3 linked regions of the Caenorhabditis elegans genome follow. The protein of the gene in region 2 purifies or fractionates together with the protein of the main gene of each other region. This does not show direct contact. Each region holds a gene or a part of one and is shown on either strand. Other genes may lie near its edges.

Region 1 (7,326 bases), on a different chromosome or scaffold from region 2:
CGGTTTTGACGGTGTTGATATTGACTGGGAATATCCCGTAACAGGCGGTGCTGTTGAGGGTACTCCAGCTGATCGAAGGAATTATGTAAACTTGATGAGAGAACTTCGAAATGAGTTGAGAGATTTGGAATCCGAAACAGGAAAGTCGTATCTCATATCGTTCGCTGGAGCAGCAGGACATTGGGTCTTGAAACCAGGATACGATCTACAACAATTGATGAAATATTGTGATTTTGTGAATGTTATGAGTTATGATTATTTTGGAGCATGGGCTTCGAAATGGGGTGCATACACTGGACCCCCAGCACCATTACAGTTTGCTATGCCGAAAAAGTGAGCTAAAATTAGTAAGGGGAAGCGAAGAGCAACGAAATAATTTTTTAGATTCTCTGGAAGAATGAACGTACATGCCACGATGAAAGACTACAGTTGCCAAATAAAAGCAACTGATAAGGTAAGAAACATTTTGGTATTTGAGTTACCGTAACCGTTAATCAACTTCCAGATAAATATGGGTGTCCCATTCTATGGTCGTTTCTGGAAGAATGTGGGTGATGCTGTTGACTCAACAGATGATATGTGGAGAACTGCTACGGCAACTAATTCAGAAGGCACAAAATTTGAAGGTGGAGATGTTCAATGGAGAGATCTGCACGAGAAATTTGATACTACAAAAACCAAGTTTCATTCTGGATCCAAAACCCCATTCATTTGGCTTTCTGAACAAAAAACCTTTGTTGGATATGAAAATGCTGAAAGTCTCAAACATAAAGTTGATTATATAGTTGAAAATAATATTGGAGGAGTTATGATATGGGCAATTGACTTTGATGATGATCAAGGTACCCTTCTGAACTCTGCTGCAGCTGAATCTATTTGTACCACATCAACAAAGTCATTCAACTACAAGTGTTCTCCAGTAGACGACAAAAGATGGTGGACATATGATGATAATGAGGAATTGGCTGGAATGTGTGGAAAATCGTCTCCATTGATTGATGGATATTATCCCGTTTGTGATCCAGATGATCCAGGTCATGCTTGTTGTGGAAAGGTTAGTACCACCGTGAAAGGCTTCATAATACCGTTTTGCAGTATGGCTATTGCGGTTCCGGTGCAGAATTCTGTTCTTGTCCTGAATGTATTGACTATGGTGCAGATCCAAATTTAATTTTGAAAGAACCAGTGAAACCAAGCCAAAAGATCACATGGTACACATCGGATGCTGGAGAAGGGAAACGTGGACGATGTGGTCGAGATGTTCCACCTTTAGAAGGAGAAGCGCCAACTTGTAATCCAGATGATGCTAATGCTCATTGTTGTAGTAATGGAGGTTACTGTGGAAATTCAAAGGAACATTGTGAATGTAATGGATGTATTGATTTTGCAAAACAGAGAGATTTCAAATATAAACCATTAGAATGGTGGACATTTTCTGAGAATCCAGCCAACGTTGGTGAGGGAACAGGCCCTCAATTCAACTTATAAGAATATATCTTCAGGTCGTTGTGGTTACAATGCTCCACGACTTTCTACTGGAAAAATTCCAAAATGTGATCCGGATTCTGAATCCTACTGTTGCAGTAATAGTGGCTATTGCGGAAAAGGAGAACAATATTGTAGCTGTTTAGGATGTGCTGATTTCAAGGCAAATCCTGCATTTGAGTATTAAACTTTCTCACTACTTATCTGAAACTGTATATACCGATAAATTATTTCAATTGTACTAAAATTACAAAAAAGTTTATCCATTAAATTTGAAAAATGAGACCAATTGGTTAAAAACTTACAGAAATGTAAGATTAAAAAGGAAAAAAAATAACTTAGAAGAACAATGGAATACATAAAATAGCGTCTACAGAAGTCCTTGTCTTTTCAAATCCTCATACATCTTCCTGGTGACCACATTTCCGCTGGAGTCCTCGTACTCCTCATCGATGTCCGGATTCCATTTAGCCATCTCCTTTTCGGTTTTCAATTTATTCCATAAATCCAGTGCATCTTTGATCTTCGTAATGTTGGCGAAATGAGAGGTATTCGGAATTCCAAGACATCTCATTCCATGAGAATGTCGCCACTCCTGCAAATATCAAGTTTTTGAACGAGACCAATATAATGAACTTACGTTGAAATGCTTTTGGAACGCCTTTGGACCTTTGTAAGTTTGATTTCCACAGATTTCACATGAATATGATAGATTGAGGCCGTGAAGTTTGTACAACCAATACGGAATTGGCTTTCCATCCCAACCAAGCGGTAGATTTTTTGGATTATATGGTGCACTCTCATCAATTTCTTCCTCTTCCTCGATCTAAAAAATGAATTTTTAAATGTTTCTAAAAATAACTAGAGAAAATAATTCAAACCTACCACAATTTCCTCCTCCTCCTCTTCTTCGACCTCTCCAGCAGATCTAGCTTGTTTTCTCTCGACATTTTCGCGAGTTCCAGTACGTTCTTCAGCTAGAATATCAGCAAGTGCCATAATATGAGCTTCCGTTTGTGCCAATGTCAAATTTTTAGCGTTCTGCTTTTCGGCATCGGAATTATTTGAAGACATTGCTGCTTTTTCGAGATCTGACAGTTTATGCCCTTTGGTAGCGAAAAGACGATCAGCGCGTTCTTTCAGAGTTCTGAAAAATAACGAGGACTACAATTAAAAAATCCAAATATTTTTAACTCACCCTCCACATTTCAGACCAATTGCCATGAGAGCTCCTTTCAAACGTTCCAATCCCAATCCCTCGAGTTCTTCAGCACTATTGTATGGAGATAAATCCACAGCAGCTGCTTGAGGTCCGTTCTTGTTTTTATCAGCTTCCCAACCAGGAAGATTCCCTGCTTTAAATGCTCTTTCTACAGTTTGATTAACCTCAGAGAAAACTGAATCGAGATCATGGAGTGGGCGAGTTCGTTGCATGAAAGAAACAAGATAGTCTTTTAAGGAATTGATGTATTCTTTATATGCTCCTGTCTTCTTGGTAGTATTTTTCGGTATCTCTGTGAATTTCTCAAAATTCAACAAATACGTCATGTAATCAACCCTTTTGATGTTCTTCAAGTTAATGAATTTGTCGTATTGTGCATGAAGATCTAGAAAACGACCGTAAGCTTCTTCATCACTGAATTCAACCATATCTGGCTCGGCTCTTTCAGGGTTGATGATTTCTTCATTGATTTTTTGGAACTCCACGGTGAGTGGTTCGGCAAGCTGAAAATGTATAGAAATTATATTACAACCAAACTTAATTGTTTCCGGGGAAAATAACAAAACTAACCTCGTCTGGATTTCTTCTGTGCGCATCTTTGATGACCTTCAGTCTTGAATAAAATTCGGCGAACTCATTTGGACCAGAAACTGAATCCATTTCCATGCTCTTCGAACCGTCTTCATCTTTATAAAATTTGGCAAGCTCGGCGGAAACTGAATAGTACCTCTGAAAAATAATAATATTGAATTGAAATAACATAACAGTTATTTCTTACATCGACAAATGTTTTCACTCGCTGTTCGCTATTAACTTTGGCCTTATGCGTTAACTTTTCTGCAATTTTTTCCTTAACAGTTATATCGATTAATCGTTCCCGTTCCTCGTGCAAGTTTCTGATGGTTTCTAGACACGAATCCATTTCTGTAAAGTTTTCTTACAACTAAACATTTAAAAAATATTAAATTAGTGAATAACTATTCATAAAAAAGATTAAACAAGACAGAAGAATAAAAATTTGAGAAAAATAAGATGTTCGAAAATGTGCAACTTGACGTGACGGTGAACACACATTCCTTGCGTACACCGCATTTAACTTGACGCACAAAGTATATTATTTTATTTTTAAGTTTTTAATTGTAATTTAAAGCTATAAGCTTGTACTTTTTAAATATAATTAAATTGTTTAAAAGTTGTCTAAGTCAGTATTTCAGGTATGTTAGCCACTGGGGGATCATTCGCACGAAGGCTGATTCATTCTTCCTGCCGATTGGCTTGCGAAGGAAAAACTAAAGAAGTTCCGACTCCAGAAGAGGTAACTGATAATATATTTGAACTAAACTAATTTCTATGTTAAATTTATAAACAATTTTACTTAAAAATCGATATATTCAGGCCGGATACGCTTACAATCATGTTGAACGAAAGAAGGGAATGTACAAACCACAACACAGTATTGCCGAGCAGATTTCCTATATGAAAAGTCGAGGTAATATTCAATTTAGTTTCAAAAACAAAATAAGAGGAATTCTTTGTGTACAGCTTTCATGAATGCCAATTAAAAATTAAATTATTTAATATATTTCAGGATACGCAGAGGCTTACAAAGGACTTCCGATTTACAGATGGTATAAGAGAAACATCAAGGTAATTTGAATTCGAAAAATAAATAAATTGATTGAAAATTCAGGGTCAATCGAAACTTCAACCACCTCCAAGACTTTTCTGCATTGATAAACACGGCCGATTCAATCTAAATCATGCTTGTCCAGTAAGTTTTTGTAACAGCAACTAACATTTGCAGATATAACAAACAAATTCACGAATTACAGGTGTGCCGTGACGAATATCTATACTTCGACTACCGAAACCCAGGTCTCATTGAACAATTTTTGGCAGATGGCACCGACCAACCAATCGATATCCTGAAGAGTGGACTATGTCGTGAACAGTACACGCTACTTCGTGCACAACTTCTGAAAGCAAAAGAACATGGAACAATCACATTTGGAGTAGAATTCCGAAACTTTGATTATCGTCAATGGTACAAAAGCTGGACAGATGAACCTGGAAAGCCTGTTGAGAGAGCTGGTGTACGTCTGCAAGATATTCATCCAGATCCACTTGTTCACTTCCCAACATTCAAAAATGACAAGAACAACGACTGGGACGAATGGTGGATTCGTCATGATAAATTTGCCAAGAAGGCAAAGTAATTGTTTTAATTTTCCTAGCGTGTTCGGTTTTCAGCAATTTTCTTCGAATTTTAGTAGGTCTCTATCGTAATTTGTTATCACTTGTTGTTGGTTCTAATAAAAATTGAGCTCAATTATTTAAACATTTATTTTAAAAAAAGCAGAAAGAATACAAAAAAGAAAGAATAAACCCGTATATAGTGCCTAGAAAAAGACGGCAAGACATGAGATTTGAGTCAAAATTAAACAAGAAGTCCACCACTAGTCATCACGGGATAGTTAGATTCATTCTCAACAACCGATGGATCACTGGAAAGTGGAATTTCGTTGGGAGCGTGATAGTGACTTATAACACGAGCATTTTCAGTTTTCTGGACCCTGAATGCACTTTTATAAGACTGATTCTTGGCTCCTAGTTGCTCCGATAACCGTATTCCTGGAGAAAGAATCGGGGATGGATCAACAGTTGATAACGAAATTCCACCTTTCCCAACAATGTGAGTTTTGTGTGCCAACGAAGCTCCAGATGTTCTAGAAGAAGATCCAGAAGTTGTAGAAGATGGGGCTGGAGAGTTGAGCATCGGAGCAAACATTGAAGGAACCGAATCTTGAGAAGCATTTCTTGATTTATAGTCAGAACTCAAAGGGATAGTAGAAGCCGGTGCAACTTCAGAGTGTCCAGAAGATCTTGATCGGAGTCGTTCGTACATATCGTAGTCTGGCGTCTGAAAATTATAGATATTATTTCAACTATGAACTCTTGATATAAATATTTTGTATAGAAAATCATTCATGAAAACTCACATCTCTATCAGATGGCTCTGCCTCCAAATGCTGACGTATTCGCAAAAGAGTCGCACTTTTTGGGTCGAAGCTGACTAATGATGTGACATTAGTTCCACGATTTTCTTCTTCTAGGTCAGGTCTCTGAAAGAAAATATAGCAGTTGTGAAATGAAATATTTTATTCAACTAAATGACTACAGTAACCATTTTGTACTAATTTAATAATTAACCATCAAGTTTTCAAAAGTTGTAGCCAAAAGTTTCTACCTAAAACGACTTGAAAATCATGTATAAAATTATAGAAAATGGAAACATTTAACCAATTCAAAACAAACAAACTTACTCTCAACGGCATAATTTTCTTTTTAATTGGCTGTGTGTACACATCCTCCAAATTACTTTCTTCTTCTGATGATCTATTTGAAGAACACGGAGCACAATCTGGAGCTGGCATTTCTGGACGTGGATTCTTTTTCTTCTTCTTTGAATTTCTCTCGAATTGTCCTTTGACTTCTTTTTTCTCTGTCACTTTCACTTTTTCTCTCGAAGATCCTAAGTCGTCATATTGTGAATTGAGGTATCCACTGCTAGAATTATTCGTGGAACTTGGAGCTTTGGCAACTTTTGATGCACATATTTGAGCATAATGGTTAATTGATTGGGAATTTGATCTTATTGGTTTCTTTCGAAGTTCCACAATCACTAAGATCGAGAAAATTGAAGTTACGATTGCAAAAATAATATGAAGAATTGCTTGAGATGCTTCGACTGAGTAGAATGGAATGAGACACTGTTTTTGAACCCATTTCTTTCTGGAAATCATTTGATTATTTCATATTTCCAATTAGAATAAATGAAATCGCTCACCTTATCACATCAAACTCGGCATCACAATATGGTGTGAATCTTAAGAAAAACGAAGAAGAGTACGGTAGTCCAGCCGAAAGATATGGTCTTGAAATTTCTCCGAAGACTCCGATATACCATAGGAAAATGAGCACATTGATTGTAACGGAAAGAGCATTTGATGAGAGGAGAGTGTAAAGAAGTGGACGTCGTTTTTGAGTAGCACCGAATAAACCCGAGATCAGCAAGACAATCTGAAAATATTCGACTTGTTCTTTCCTATCAATTTATGATATTCACACTTTCAATTTTCCCTGAAAATTTTCTGTTCTTCTAGAAATACTAGGAAATCTTAATCTCATTAATCCCAGTTTTTCCTCAAAAACATGAATATTTTTGTGTAAACTTTGCAAACCATTCTTTCCCGATCCCTGCCCATAATTAGACAGGATAGTCGAGGTCAGACACAATTTTTCGTCGAAAAACTGGCAATTATCTAGAGAATAAGCAGGAGTGTCTCTACCTACTCATGTTATATTTAATCACGATGTCAGAAATAACGGGCGGTACGGTTATTGAGATGGCTATGTACAGAATGATGGCGCCAAAAGTGGCAAGGTTGGGCGATTTGAACTAATAATAAGACTGGAAATAAATATTTTATTATGAATATTAATGTATTCATATTTTTTCTTTAATTGGATATAGAAATTGGTGCACTCGAACTACTGTACTTTCTCTATCAGTGCTGTGCCCCATTGCTCAAGTTATGATATGTAGAAATTGGATATAA
Region 2 (6,623 bases):
TTCATTCTCCCGCGTGAAATGCTAACGCGCTCTATCAGACAGACGACACGCGACGCGTCCGGCGACACTGAAAAATCATCAATTTTCAAAAGAGATTCTCATTTCAAAGCTTTTTCCATATTCATTTCTTCTAAAAATATTTGTTCGTTTGCAGAAAATGCCAGATCACCTTGGAGATGACATGCGCAAAACTAAAAAAGATGATACCAAGGAGGAAGAGAAGAATTTCCAGGGTATGTGGATATCGTTCAGGAAACTAATTCTGAAAATTGAATTTAGCTCTCGACGAAGGAGACATTGCTGTTTTGAAAAGATACGGGCAAGGTCCATACGCGGAACAGCTCAAAACATTGGACGCGGATATTGAAAACTGTCTGAAGAAGGTATTTATTTCATCGTGCTCCTAATTTTATTTCATTGTTCTACAGGTGAACGAACTTTCTGGAGTGAAAGAATCAGACACCGGGTTGGCTCCACCAGCTCTATGGGATATTGCTGCTGATAAACAAGCAATGCAGCAAGAACAGCCTCTCCAAGTTGCCAGATGCACAAAAATTATCACCAGCGACAAGCACGATCCGCGTTACTTGATCAACGTAAAACAGTTCGCTAAGTTTGTTGTAGACCTTGCTGATTCCGTTGCACCTACTGATATTGAGGTTTGAAATTGTAATTAGATTTCACACATAATTGAAAAATGATTCAGGAGGGCATGAGAGTAGGAGTAGACCGTAACAAGTATCAAATTCATCTTCCGTTGCCCGCCAAAATTGATCCAACCGTCACAATGATGCAGGTTGAAGAAAAACCAGATGTAACATATTCGGATGTCGGAGGCTGCAAGGATCAAATTGAAAAGCTTCGAGAAGTTGTCGAGACTCCACTTCTTCATCCCGAGCGTTACGTTAATCTCGGAATCGAGCCACCAAAAGGAGTTTTGCTCTACGGTCCACCAGGAACAGGAAAGACGCTTTGCGCTCGTGCCGTTGCCAATCGAACAGATGCTTGCTTCATTCGTGTTATTGGATCAGAGTTGGTTCAGAAATATGTCGGAGAAGGAGCTCGAATGGTTCGTGAGTTGTTCGAAATGGCTCGTACCAAGAAGGCATGTCTTATCTTCTTTGATGAAATTGATGCTGTTGGAGGTGCTCGTTTTGATGATGGACAAGGAGGTGACAATGAAGTTCAACGTACTATGCTCGAGTTGATTAACCAACTTGACGGATTCGATCCACGTGGAAACATCAAGGTTTGTCTTTAATTCTTTATGGAAATAACCCAAAAAAATCTGTAATATAAATTTATTTATCTCTTGCTTTCTTGAAGGCAGTTTATATCATTAGTTCAGTCCTTTCATCCAAAAAAAAAGACACACATTTTTCGTTTGATAAGTTTCCAAAAAATTAATGCTTACATGTATTGTAAATATGAGTGTTTCATTAAAATAATTTGATATTTTCAGGTGCTTATGGCAACAAACAGACCGGACACTCTCGATCCCGCTCTCATGAGACCTGGTCGATTGGATCGTAAAGTCGAATTCGCTCTTCCAGACCTTGCAGGTCGTGCTCACATTCTCAAGATTCATGCAAAACAAATGAGCGTTGAAAGAGATATTCGTTATGATTTACTTGCTCGTCTGTGCCCAAACAGTACAGGAGCCGAAATTCGCTCAGTCTGCACCGAAGCTGGAATGTTTGCAATTCGTGCTAGAAGAAAGGTGGCAACTGAAAAAGATTTCCTTGAAGCTATCAATAAGGTTGTCAAGGGATATGCCAAATTCAGCGCCACTCCAAGATATCTGACACATAATTAATTGTACCCTATTCGGTTTTCATTCTCTTTCCGGTCCTCGATTAACTTATTTTCGCCCGTCCACCCATTTTTTTTTGTACAGATTCCCCATGTCTCCGATTTTTGTCTTATTTATTACATCCTATCGTCGTGAGATGCACCCAAGTTGGCCCAACACTGTCAGATGTATTCGTTTCGATTTTATGGATAAATGTGATTGGGTTTCTGACTATTAAAACTTGTATACACCAGTTTAAATGAATCTGAAAACGTGCCATAAAACCTTTTCATAAGAAGAGTAGTAATCTAAACGCGATTACGGTGTAATGCCAGAAAAAGTAAGAATAGAAGAAATTGGCAAGCGTATTTTAATGGTACTAATATTGTGCACACTTTACCTAGGAATATATTTTTCATCTCTACAATGTTGACTAGCGCCCTGAATGCTCCAAGGATACTGTTTTCCAACTAAATGTTCAACTGTTCAGTATTTATATTCTGCCTCCTAGAGGCGTTCAAAAATTGCGTATGCCACCCATGTTTCAGGGGACATCGCGGGCAATTGGGAAAAGTTTTCAACCAGCAATAAACGCACCTCGGCAAAGCCTCATTGGTCACGTTATCGCCCCAGCGCAAAGCTAAATTCAGCAGCTCACTCAGCTGATCCTATAAAACACAGCAACCGACAAATCGCGGCTTTCGCGCACAATGGTGCTTTCTGCATTCTGTATTCTTCGGAATGCGGCGCGTGTGCGTTGCGGTCGTCTTTTTCGAATTGCAATCGCTCGCGGTTTATCGGAGTCTCTCTGTTTTCTTGAAACGAATCTCTTCCCTTCGATTAAAACTGCATAAAAACTAATAAAAATCTCAAAATTGATTTTTCTTCTACTTTCTTAAGATCTGTAAAGTTTCGTTCCTCCGAATTCCTCTTTATGATTATTTAGAAAACCTCGCCCAATACCTTATTCTTCACTCTTATCGGTATTTTTTACATGAAATTATCATTGATTCTCAGCTAACCAATTTAATTTCAGGGACTTCTATCAAAATCAACTTTGATCATGTCGGCGTGAGTTCACATTGTTTTCATTGACCAGTAGTTTAAATTTATTTTTACAGCCAAGCCAAACCCCGTTCAGAGATGACTGCTGAAGAACTCGCTGCAAAGGAGGACGAGGAATTCAATGTCGGACCACTCTCCATCCTCACCAACTCAGTCAAAAACAATCATCAAGTTCTCATCAATTGCAGAAACAACAAGAAGCTTCTCGGAAGAGTTAAGGCTTTTGACAGGTTAGGTTTCTTAGAAATACTATTAAGTAAAAACTCACAAGTATTTGTCGGTAGTAAACTTCAGACAACATTTTTTAAAGAAAAGTGTTTCAAAAATAATATTTGAATCATCGATAGTGAACGTATTTTGGTTGTCGTCTCGATGCTGTAGCAAAATATCATTTACTATATATAATGCATTTATTCCGTTTGTCCATAGTTTGTAGTCTGTGAAGGTTTGGCTTAGTGTAGGGATATAGTCGGGGTACTGTAGTGGTACAATAGTGGTACGGTAGGAGTACTGTATGATTATGGTAGTTTCAGAAAAATTAGTTTTCAGCCCCAGAAGTCGGGGCAGCGCCAGAGGTGCGGTCCACGGCTGGTAGATTTAATAAAACGGCACGATCCTCCTGTGCTGTAACAAATTGTCGTGGCATCAAATTATTCAAACACGTATTGCTACGATTTCCAAAGGGAAAACACAAATCTTACACTAATATAAGTACTTTCTCATTTGCCGTAACTTTCGTGTCCCGCAAAGCATGCAAAATTCCAAGAGGAGTTTTCTACTATTGTTCGTATAAAAATAATTGGAACGTATAGTCTAATTCTTTACTTTTTCAGACATTGCAACATGGTCCTCGAAAATGTGAAGGAAATGTGGACTGAAGTGCCAAAGACTGGAAAGGGAAAGAAGAAGGCAAAGTCTGTCGCCAAAGATCGTTTCATCTCAAAAATGTTCCTCCGCGGAGACTCCGTCATTCTCGTCGTCAAAAACCCACTGGCACAAGCTGAATAATTCACCTTCAGAAAATCTCCCAATCAGTACGGTTTTCTCGTATTTGTTATGACACCTTACAATTTTCGAAATTTTCACTCTTGTTCTTCCCCCTCCCGTTCACCCTGTTGTTTCGTTTCAATGATCATCATTTTCCACTTTTTATTTATTGATAAACGTTCCTATTTAATACCACAGTCGTGTTTTTTTCTGAAGTTGAATCCGTATCCTCGCGGCAGATGATTTTTGTAGTTCTGCGTGATTGTTGCTTGAACTTGAAACCGGTTTTTCGATTTTTCGTCGATGTTGACTGTCAGTGCTATCAGAATATCATCGTCTTTCGTCTTCAAAGTTCAGGTTACTATTGGTCGTTATTTTTTGAATAAAAACGCTATATTCCACGTTTTTCATGAAATGTGATTTATTGCCATATTCCAAAAAATCAATTTCAGAAACGAAAAATGCCGATGGTCAGAGTTGCGACGAATCTACCAAATGAGAAGGTTCCTGTTGATTTTGAGGTTTGTGTTTTAATCAAACATTTTCTAAACGACTCAACAAACACTGAACAGTCTAGAGAAAATTTGTAGAAAAAAACAAGTATTTTAAGAGAAACAAATATGGTTCCCGGTCTCGACACGACGAGTTTTTTCGTTGCGAGAAAGTGTGCGCCTTTAAAGATTACTGTAATTTTATACTCGAGTTTCTGCAGAATTCTTAAAGATTTTATATAGTTTTTCTCACAATAAGTTTTTCAATGAAAATATTTTTAACGAAAAACTATGAACAATTGATGAAAATTCCTCAGCAAGGGAAGTTTAAAATTACAGTACTCTTTAAAGGTGCACACCTTTTTTTTTGCATTTTACAAGCACCTGTCGTCTCGAAACCAGGTACAGTATTTTGGGACCACAACTTGGCAAAACAGACATGTTTTTGAAAAATAATATTAAGACAGTTCAGACAAATTTTTGAAATATTTTATATTCAGTTTTCGCATCCACAATTTCGGAAGTTGACCAAAAAGTGGATTTTCTACGAATTTTTGATATTTTAATAATTTTCCGTTTTTCTAGAGTATTGTACGGTTACAAACATGAACCATTGTTCCAAATTCTCAAAAGTCCCGAACTTTTCGTAGCGCCAATTTACCAAAGAAAACTTTCAAAAATCTGAACAAATGCCAACTTCACATAGTATTCCTTTTAAAATGTGAATTTTCAATTTAAGATTCGTCTCACCGATCTTCTTGCTCGATCAATGGGAAAACCAAGAGAGAGAATTGCTGTCGAGGTATATTAGTAATCTTTAGTAATTATTAACTTTAAAGTTTCAGATAGCCGCCGGTGCTCGTCTAGTTCATGGGGCCACTCATGATCCTGTGACCGTAATTTCGGTAAGTGACTTAGGAACACTTTCCAAAAGTAACACCTTGGTAAACCAAAACCTTTAAAACTACATTTAAGTTCCTTGTTACACTTAGAAAGGAAATTAAAACTTTATGAAACCATCCTTTTTCTGGCAGAAGTTCAAAATTCTCGCAATAATAAATTCTTTAGATCAAATCAATCGGAGCAGTGTCTGCTGAAGACAATATTCGCAATACGGCAGCCATCACTGAGTTTTGTGGAAAGGAATTGGGTCTTCCAAAAGATAAGGTAAGTGTAGTTTATGTCAAACATTTAAGTCACAAATATTTCGTTATGTTTTATTAATCAAACAATGGATTATTGATATTTCAAAATTTCAGGTTGTTATCACATTCCACGACTTACCACCAGCTACGGTAGGGTTCAACGGTACAACTGTCGCCGAAGCAAATAAGAAATAATTTTTGATGTCAGTTGTTCATAATGTGACTAGATTAATTTTGATTTCATGCACTTTTGTAATTGCTCTTCGTAAATTTTAATAAAGATATATATATTTCAGAAGATTTAAGAACAAATTTAAATTATGAACATTTTTATTTGGCAGATGGTAATTACAAAAATTGTGTACATAATGCATTTAGACCTTGGCCTTTCCGGCGACAACTGCTGATTCAATTCCGCATTGATCATCTCCACGGTAGATCTTGAAGAAACCGCTCTCTCCCCAGTTAACTCCCCATGAGTTGGCAACAAGCCAGTATGGAGATCCGCTCTCAGTTCCCCATCCGATGATCTTAATGGCGTGTCCTCCGAGGTACTTTCCGGCGGTGTGCTTGTAAACTCCGCTCTTGTATTTGTAGAAGTCTTCGTAAACAGAGAATGCAGCCTCAACTGGTCCATTAGCGTAGATTTCAGCTTGGATGGATGCAGCATTCTTTGGAACAGCGTAGGCAGAGACTCCTGAAATAATATAATTATTCCACAATTCTATGTAATTTTTACAAACCGAAGTGCTTGTCCTTGGCGTAGGCAGTTGAATATCCAGATTGGCAGCTCATTGAGCAAGATGGAGTCTTGGATTCTGGGCAGTTTCCAGATGTGCATGGGGCAATTGGGTATGGTTTGCATCCAGCTCCGTGGTAGTCTCCACCAGTAACAACTCCCTTTGAGTCCCACCATCTGAGAGCTTGAATTGGGTATCCTCCTTCACATCCATTTCCGCAGGAAGATCCGCAGCAGGAGAGAAGATCATCTGGAGAGATGATTGGTTGTTGGGCTCCCTTGGTCTCAATGCAGGTACGGTCAGAGATCATCTCAGCTGCTCCGAAAGCCCAGCAGGATCCACAGGTGGCTTGGTCACGGATAAGCTTGATGGACTTGCACTCGGACCATTGGGTACGAGAATC
Region 3 (8,500 bases), on a different chromosome or scaffold from region 2:
CTGGAGAGTGTGCTAAGGGAGAATAAATTGACGAGAATCAGTGATTGGGCGGATAAAAATGCAGAAATTCGGGGAATAATTGAAGTAGAATATTGAGCGTATAAAGAAGTTTATTATTAAATTTTTTCTTGATTTCAGGTAGGATTTGACACATTATCCGATCCAAAAGTCACAATTGAAGGAACGTCTGACTCCAGCGATCATTTTTCCATCCCCCTAGACATTCTTCCACCAATCCGATTGAAATTTCATCTTCCAAATGATTATCCCTCAGTATCATCACCAAAACTTGAACTGGAAAGTTATTGGATGAATCAGGAACAAATGACATCTTGTGAAACCGAGTTGGCAAGGATTTGCGAGGAAAACCAGATGATGGAGGTGCTTTTTATGTGCTATCAAACGATAATTGATTCGGTTAGTTTTTTGTTCTTTTTAACAAATTAAATATATAAAAATAAGTTTCAGATAGACCAATCTCACCTAAAAATCATCAATCTGAACGAGGCGTGTGCGCTGAAAAACAATGGAGAAACTATTGAATCGCTGAAAAAGAAAATTCTTGGAAAAGGCGAAGAAGCTGCTGAAGAGCACTTTGTCAATACACTTTTCGATTGTGAAGTAATTTTTTCGTAGTTATAAAATTATACTATTTTTTCAATCTTCCAGGTATGCTACGACTCTCAAATGGGCCAACATTGCATCAAATTCCAGCCGTGCTCTCACGTTTTCTGCAAACAATGTACTTTCGATTATTATCGTACAATATCGAAAGGTGTTGTGGTAAGATCCAATCGATTTTTTTTTTGGAAAAATTGGATCATTTACAGTCAAAAGCCATGCAGTGTCTAGCAGAAGGATGCAAGAGTGAAGCACAACAAAATACGGTTAAGGAGGCACTCGGAGATGATTTATATGCAAAGTGAGATACATTTCCAAAAAAAAAAATCCAAATTTGAATTTCCGCCAGATACGAGACGATTATGCTGGAGAAGGCGATTCGAGAGATGGAAGACACCGTGGAGTGTCCCAGAGAGAATTGTCAAAAAGTCGCCTACGTCACGGATAGGTATAGTTTAAAATATAAAAATAAATGTAAAAAAGAAGAACATTTCAGACAACGCTTCCTGGCCGAATGCTCCTACTGTAACTTTTCGTTCTGCAATCTGTGTAAGCAGACATTCCACGGAATAGAACGCTGCAAATGGAAGAAAGGAGACAAAGAGCTTCTTGTCAAAAGATGGAAGGATGGAGATGAAGCTGAGAAGGCTGAAATGTGCAGGCAATTTGGAGGAGAGAAGCGTGTCGAGGAGCTTGTGGAGCGGTTCCTCAATGAGGAATGGCTGGATTCGAACAGCAAACCGTGTCCCAAGTGCTCGGTGAGCATAGAGAAGAATGAAGGATGCCACAAGATGCACTGTACGAAGTGTGACACCTACTTCTGTTGGTTGTGCTCTGAAACTCTTGACAAGGAAGATCCTTATAAGCATTTTCAGGGAGATGTTGGTTTTTTCTTAGAATTGTGTAAGAAATGTATTTTTCATTTTCAGGGATCATGCTCTGGACGTCTGTTCGAAGGAGTTCATCACGATTTGCTAGATAACGATGACGATCTTCTTTTCGATATGGCATTTAACGACGGTAGTGACTATGACAGTGATGAGACCGTCGAGTATCCTGAATCCGACGAAGATATTGATGCGGAGGATTGGTTAGAGCAAGAAGGACATTTTGACGAGCTTTTCTTTAATTAACATAACTTTACGGTTTTCTCTAAATTTACGGATTAATTGTCAAATAAAATGAATAGTTCATCCTTTTAGATTTGGTGATTGATTTAAAAGTGAAAATAGAATTAAAAGAAAGGGGTAAGAAATAAACAAAAAATAAATAGAAACAATCAAAAAATTTGACAAGGGGCAATAGGGATAAAAGAGGTTTGGGGAAATGAGATCAGATGATTCGGAGGCATCAATAGCCTCTGCCAGCGTTTCTCTGCAGGGTCTGCATCACAGTAGTCAGCTTCCGTTTCGTGTCTCCATCTGGGAAGTTGTCGAGATCATAGTATTGAGGGGCGATTTGAAGTAGCCTGAAACGCATATCTAGTTAGGTTTTGAATAATATAATTTGCAAATTAACTCACCATTCAGGGCGCACATCAGTTACAGTTCTGATGAAGTTCTTTGTGGTTAACACGAACTCATTGTAGAGTGCCCACTCCGGCTTATGATCGAGAACTGTGGATGGATGAAGGTTGACGAGCTGATTATCTTTCACCGTCACGTAGTGTCCACTTCGTTCCAGATGAGCGACTTGCATGAAAAATCCAGCTACAAGAGCTTTCCTGATGTTGAGATAATAGTCTCGAGATTTGAAGTCTGTTGAGACACGTCGAAGATTGTACTTGTCCATAACACGCGACAATTGTGTGCGGACTGTGTCGGCAGTTTTCATAGTTCTGTAGTTGATGAAGTTATCGTAACACCACTGCGGATCTTCTTGATCTGAAATATGCGAAACTAATATTTGAAAAAAAGAAAAACAAAGTCAACTTACTCTGCTTGAACGAATGATAGACATTGAGAAGTGTGAGATGATCTCCATCAATATGTGCAAACCGAGCCTTCGCCTCATCGGCTTCTGTTCTCATTTCATTGGGACGAACCCAGCACTGCGGAACCGAGAGCATTGCTGTGATCGACAAAATTTCATTTGAGCAATTGAGTTCAGTGGATGTGATAAGCATCTTTGCGAGCTGAGGATCAAGCGGGAACTCAGCCATCAGACTTCCTAGTTCAGTGAGCTCTCCATCGTCGTTGATCGCCTGAAGATAGTTTAACAGTTCCAGCGCTCTCATCAATGTCTCTGGTGCGGGAGGATCCATGAAATCGAAGTGCACAAGATCTTCGGTTCCGAGCTTCTTGAGCTGCAGCACAACAGATCCGAGATTCGACCGAAGAATTTCAGGATATGTTTGATCTTGCATTTCTGATCCGTAAGCCGTTTCGGTGTAAAGCCGGAAACATTTTCCTGGCTTTGTTCTTCCGGCGCGTCCAGCTCTTTGCATAGCAGAAGCTTTCGAAATGGGACAAACAAGCAGCGACTCGACACGAATTCTTGGATTGTACACTTTTTGCTTCGAGAATCCAGGATCGATAACAAAGACAACGCCATCAATAGTCAATGATGTCTCAGCGATATTTGTAGAGATGACACACTTTCTGCTGATTGCTCCATTCGGTCGATTTGGTGGTGCTGGTTCGAAGATTCTCTGCTGTGCTGCTGGGGGAAGTGTAGAGTACAACGGAATGCAGCTGAGTGCTCCAGCATCTGCTCCCAAGGCTTGAATCTCACGATCTATTCTTTTGCAAGCTTCTTCGATCTCTTCTTGACCAGTGAGGAACAGTAAAATGTCACCTTCAACCTCCTCGACCATATGAATTTGGATTACAGTTCTGATCGCGGCTTCTAGATAATCTTTCTCCGCATTTGGAGTGAAGAAGATCTCAACAGGGAATGTTCTTCCGGGAACACTGAGCAACGGGCAATCCTCGAAATATCTTTGAAACTTTCCTGCATCCAATGTAGCGGACATGATTACGACCTTGATATCAGCTCGATTTCTCACGATTTCCTTGATCAGTCCCATAAGAATATCTGTGGCGAGTGTTCTTTCGTGAGCCTCGTCGAGAATAAGGACTTTGTACTTATCGAGGAGCGGGCTGTTCATTGCTTCTCGCAGCAACATACCGTCTGTACAGTATTTGAGAACAGTTCGTTCGCTGATGCAGTCTTCGAAACGAATACTGTATCCCACTTCTTGTCCCAAAACTACGTCCATTTCCTCAGCAACTCTTGTCGCAACGCTCATCGCAGCGACCCGTCTAGGCTGTGTGCAAGCCACCAATCTCGCTTGACCGGGTGGTTGTCCTTGTTGCTGCTGCTTCATGAACTCGACGGCCCACTGTGGGATTTGCGTGGTCTTTCCGGATCCCGTTTCTCCGACAAGAGTGATGCACTGGTTGTTCCGGAGCAGCTCCATAAACTTTTCCTTATATTCCCATACTGGCAATTGACTTCTTTTCTCCCAAATTGCCCAATATCGGTTACTAAATGGCTGGTTGTTGTATGGATTGATTTGGATCTGTAAATTTGGAGATGAGAAACAAAAATTCGTTTACTAAAAAATACCTTCATATTTCCAACTGCCCCAATCTGTCTTTTCCGGTCGGGGGAGGAGCGTCTGTGTGGCGATCGGGAGCGGGATCGGGATCTGCGGTTAGGAGATCTGAAAATAAATTATTATTATTATATTGAACTGGGGAAGCAACAATTTTACTTACCTTCTTCTGTCTCCGCGTCCGCTGCCATCTAAATCCAATCGGTGTCTCGAAGACATCGCAAGTTTCTCCTTCAATAGGAAAATTAGAGTTTCAAGTGGCTTTATAAAGCGTTATACGAAAATATTAGGTATTTCGAAAAGCTACGCGCAGGATAAATGGATTAAATGTATGACAAATTAAGAAAACTAGTTGAAAAAGGAGAAAATCAGCAAATATAGAGATATTGGGAACAAAAGACAGAATTTCGCAGAATATATTCGGAATAAGTATGGAGCGATTTACGGGTGCGCCTTTAAACTTTCGGTGGGTCTCGAAGCGATTCCGCTGTCTGCGTCTCTGCACTGCTGGGCGGCTTGATGGTTTTAGTTGTTTTCAGCTTCTTTTCGAGTTTCAGATATATTTTTTCAAGTTTTTCAATTTAAAATAATGTTCTCTGAATTTTTATCTATCGATTAATATCCTATTTATATATTTTTATTTTCAGAGAACAGGGGAAAACTTGAGAGAATGGCTCTCAGACTCGCCGTCAGCTCTGCTTTGCGTCCGGCTCTCAATAGCCAGGTAATTTTCTTGTGAGATTGCTAAAAGAGAAATAAAAACTCTTAATTGAAAATAAAATTGAAAGTTGTATGCCCACAGGTCGCATGGAGAACGTAACAACGATGATAATGTAGAAAATCTAATTAAATTAATTAATTTTCAGGTTCGCAATGCTTCATCAGCTGTCTCCGTGAAGGACGTGCTTGCCAGCGCTCCACAAGCTGAAGTTACCACCTTGAAGAATGGCTTCCGTGTTGTCACCGAAGATAATGGATCCGCCACCGCTACCGTAATTTTGCCCACTAGTTTTCTAAAATTTCTTTTGTTTTAAATTGTAGGTGGGAGTCTGGATCGAGACCGGATCTCGTTTTGAGAACGAGAAGAACAACGGTGTCGCACATTTCCTCGAGCGATTGATCCACAAGGGAACTGGAAAGAGAGCATCTGCTGCTCTCGAATCCGAGCTTAATGCTATCGGAGCAAAACTCAACTCGTTCACTGAGCGTGACCAAACCGCAGTTTTTGTCCAAGCTGGAGCTCAAGATGTTGAGAAAGGTAAATATTTGTAACTTATAAAATTGTGTTAATTTTCCAAAATTTTCAGTTGTCGATATCCTCGCCGATGTTCTCCGCAACAGCAAGCTTGAGGCCTCAACCATCGATACCGAAAGAGTTAATCTTCTCAAAGAGCTCGAAGCTTCCGATGACTATCATCAGCTTGTCCTCTTCGATATGCTCCACGCTGCCGGATTCCAAGGCACCCCACTCGCTCTCAGCGTTCTCGGAACCAGTGAGAGCATTCCAGTAAGTATTTATTTGGGTTTACATAAAGTTGATTATTTTTTCAGAATATCTCTGCTCAACAATTGAAGGAGTGGCAAGAGGATCATTACAGACCAGTGCGCATGGTTCTGTCCGCTGTCGGAGGAGGAGTTTCCAATGTTTCAAGCCTCGCCGATAAATATTTCGGAGACTTGAGCAACGAATACCCACGAAAGGTTCCACAGGTCGATGGAACACGATTCACCGGATCTGAATACAGATACCGCAACGATAATGTCCCACACATGTATGCTGCTTTCGCTGTTGAGGTACAAATAATAAATGTGTGTTCAGTCTTTCATTTTACTTCATTTTTAGGGTGTTGGATATGCCCACAAAGATGCTCTCGCTCTTCAAATTGCCAATCAATTCATTGGTAAGTTGGCTTTTGTGTGAATTTTTCAATTCAAACCGTAATTTTGATGAGTTTTAGGCCAATGGGATGTGACCCACGCTACATCCAGAACAGCTGCTTCCAGACTTGTCCAAAAAATCGGACACGACCACGGAGTCCATAACCTCCAGCATTTCAACATCAACTACAAGTAAGTATCTTTTTTTGCAAGCTTATTTAAATTTTTATTTTCTTTTTTTCAGAGACACTGGATTGTTCGGAATCTACTTTGTTGCTGATGCTCACGACTTGAACGACACCAGCGGAATCATGAAGTCTGTTGCTCACGAATGGAAGCATTTGGCCTCTGCTGCCACAGAAGAAGAAGTCGCCATGGCCAAGAACCAATTCAGAACCAACTTGTACCAGAACCTCGAGACCAACACACAAAAGGCTGGATTTAACGCTAAGGAGGTTTGTTACTCTGCAGAAAATGCTATGGATAGTTATTTCATTATTTTCAGCTTCTTTACACCGGAAATCTCAGACAGTTGTCAGAACTTGAAGCTCAAATTCAAAAGGTTGACGCTGGAGCTGTCCGCGAGGCTATTTCAAGACATGTGTACGATCGTGATCTTGCTGCTGTCGGAGTTGGTGAGTAGTTTTCCACTTGCTGTTGTTTTTACATTATGAGAATTGCAAACAATTTCTCTTTTCTAGGTCGCACAGAAGCCTTCCCCAACTACGCCCTTACTCGCGCTGGTATGTCGTGGTGGAGAATGTAAGCAGTGAACGATGACGTCTTCCTCATCTCGGATTCCCTATGTACTTTTCGCTGTTCGTTCACCGTCTCTCTCTCTCTCTATCTGTTGTCAGATACACTTTTTTAGAAAACTTTTTGCTGTTCATTTATTTTCTTTTTCCAAAAATTAATTTTAATTTAGAGTAGCGTTATTTGTTTGTACGGTTCGGAGTAAAATGAATGAATTGACGAATTGTGCCAGAAAATGTATATCTGCTCGATTATTTTCTGCAGAATTATAATATCTGAATGATTTCCTGATGAGATTGTCTGCCCATCAAATCAGCGCCCTCAATTTTCCCCCGATGCAAAAAAAAAAACACAACAAGACCACTCCCAATTGGACGGAAAGATATCTGCGTCTCCGACCGATCCATTGCATCTCTTGTCCACCGGTTGACTGGCCTTGACCACGTTCGCACACTTATTGTCAGCCTCACCCGAGGCTATCCGCTTACTGAACCCCACTTTACGCGAAACTTTCTGTATATAGGTGACTGGCGTTAAATAATAATAGCATCGTTCCATTTTACAGCTAATTTCTTACCTGAAAGTTTTCGAATCTTGAAAAAAAAACTAACTGTCATTTCAAGTAGTAATTAGTAATTCTTTATTTCAATAAAAATCAGCGAAAATGATCCAAAGTCTAGAATTTTAACAGGAAACAGTAAAATTGTAGAATACTGAATTCCCACTTCTCCTCGAGAAGTACACGAGCTGCGTAAATCGACACATGGTCGTGTTATTGGTTCACGAGTGTGCGCCTTTAAAAAGTACTGTAGTTTCACCTTTGTTTTTTCAACTTTTGTTGCTGTCAGTTTTTCACGATTTTTCGATGAAAACATACTTCCTGATTGATCAACTTAAATTTAAATTAAAAAAAAAACTTCCCGAAAAACCATTAAAATTAAATGAAAATTCCGGAACAACAAAAGTTTGAAACTACAGTACTCTTTAAAGGAGCACACCTTCTCGTATTTAGCACAAATTTGTCGTGTCGAGAACATTTATCGAATTATTGGTCCAAAAATTGTCTGGATATTATGTGAAAGCCCGTGATTGAATTTTTTCTAGTCCAAAAAACATTTCAATTTGTTTTTTTTCAATTTTCACTTTGACGATCACAAGTTTCATTTCTTTCTCTTCTCTTGCGATGAATTAATAAAATATCATGTGACTATATTTCAATTCTTTTTCCAAGTACATTCTTTCAGAATTTCTCAAAATTTTCACCCCAACAAGATGACATATCTGCGTCTCTCCTATGTACCACTTCTAAGTTTATACTTACTCAAAGTCTATTTACATTCGGACCCACCAAAAGAACCTTTTCCTTTATAAATTGTTTATTCTAATAATGGACTCTCTTTAATACATCTATCCGATCCCTCTTCCAACTGACTCATTGAATCATCCGGTTTCCGACAATTTATCCGTCTATTTCTCCTCCAATTCATGATCATTTCCATTGCTGACTCATCGTTTTATCAATTCTTCTTCTTTTCTTTATGTTTACACAGTTTGCTTTTCTGCTCTTTTCCTCCCCATTTCTTCGCCGAAATCTTGAGACTTTTTGAACCATTTTTTTAAACGAAAAATGTTCTAAACTTTTTCTATATCAGATGGCAAAAGACATTTACAAGACCTTCAAACGATCGG

What was found. Proteins that work in one complex are often made in the same cells at the same time.
Region 1: the proteins of snr-4 (region 2) and prp-9 fractionate together in Caenorhabditis elegans (co-fractionation; one large-scale study listed by BioGRID). This does not show direct contact.
Region 3: the proteins of snr-4 (region 2) and ddx-15 fractionate together in Caenorhabditis elegans (co-fractionation; one large-scale study listed by BioGRID). This does not show direct contact.

The regions. Positions count from the first base shown.
Region 1 is NC_003280.10:8,521,766-8,529,091, forward strand, and holds prp-9 (Matrin-type domain-containing protein), read right to left. Parts: upstream 3,632-7,326; 5' UTR 3,630-3,631; coding exon 3,486-3,629; intron 3,437-3,485; coding exon 3,278-3,436; intron 3,211-3,277; coding exon 2,684-3,210; intron 2,633-2,683; coding exon 2,371-2,632; intron 2,312-2,370; coding exon 2,126-2,311; intron 2,081-2,125; coding exon 1,856-2,080; 3' UTR 1,729-1,855; downstream 1-1,728. Other genes in the region: cht-2 (GH18 domain-containing protein), read left to right, coding at 1-333, 385-454, 506-1,054, 1,096-1,456, 1,503-1,672; mrps-18B (28S ribosomal protein S18-2, mitochondrial), read left to right, coding at 3,924-4,022, 4,103-4,196, 4,296-4,354, 4,398-4,478, 4,540-4,923; gldi-7 (Sodium/potassium-transporting ATPase subunit beta-1-interacting protein), read right to left, coding at 5,145-5,627, 5,707-5,829, 6,031-6,499, 6,555-6,787.
Region 2 is NC_003283.11:11,975,929-11,982,551, reverse strand, and holds snr-4 (putative small nuclear ribonucleoprotein Sm D2), read left to right. Parts: upstream 1-2,828; 5' UTR 2,829-2,855; coding exon 2,856-2,863; intron 2,864-2,913; coding exon 2,914-3,087; intron 3,088-3,218; exon of another isoform or gene 3,219-3,239; intron 3,240-3,690; coding exon 3,691-3,865; 3' UTR 3,866-4,044; downstream 4,045-6,623. Other genes in the region: rpt-1 (26S proteasome regulatory subunit 7), read left to right, coding at 158-233, 280-383, 429-659, 707-1,249, 1,463-1,816; MIF-like protein mif-2, read left to right, coding at 4,148-4,201, 4,297-4,365, 5,075-5,137, 5,181-5,240, 5,404-5,502, 5,595-5,675; cpr-1 (Gut-specific cysteine proteinase), read right to left, coding at 5,855-6,177, 6,224-6,623. UniProt on the Caenorhabditis elegans protein: Plays a role in pre-mRNA splicing as a core component of the spliceosomal U1, U2, U4 and U5 small nuclear ribonucleoproteins (snRNPs), the building blocks of the spliceosome.
Region 3 is NC_003281.10:5,587,308-5,595,807, forward strand, and holds ddx-15 (Pre-mRNA-splicing factor ATP-dependent RNA helicase ddx-15), read right to left. Parts: upstream 4,412-8,500; 5' UTR 4,400-4,411; coding exon 4,344-4,399; intron 4,289-4,343; coding exon 4,192-4,288; intron 4,145-4,191; coding exon 2,557-4,144; intron 2,505-2,556; coding exon 2,144-2,504; intron 2,103-2,143; coding exon of another isoform or gene 2,102-2,102; exon of another isoform or gene 2,090-2,101; coding exon 1,972-2,089; 3' UTR 1,755-1,971; downstream 1-1,754. Other genes in the region: F56D2.2 (RBR-type E3 ubiquitin transferase), read left to right, coding at 1-84, 139-417, 469-621, 670-783, 831-922, 971-1,069, 1,118-1,502, 1,551-1,754; ucr-1 (Cytochrome b-c1 complex subunit 1, mitochondrial), read left to right, coding at 4,851-4,904, 5,047-5,172, 5,222-5,438, 5,488-5,687, 5,732-5,974, 6,024-6,081, 6,133-6,250, 6,303-6,513 and 2 more; ced-6 (Cell death protein 6), read left to right, coding at 8,464-8,500. UniProt on the Caenorhabditis elegans protein: Pre-mRNA processing factor involved in disassembly of spliceosomes after the release of mature mRNA.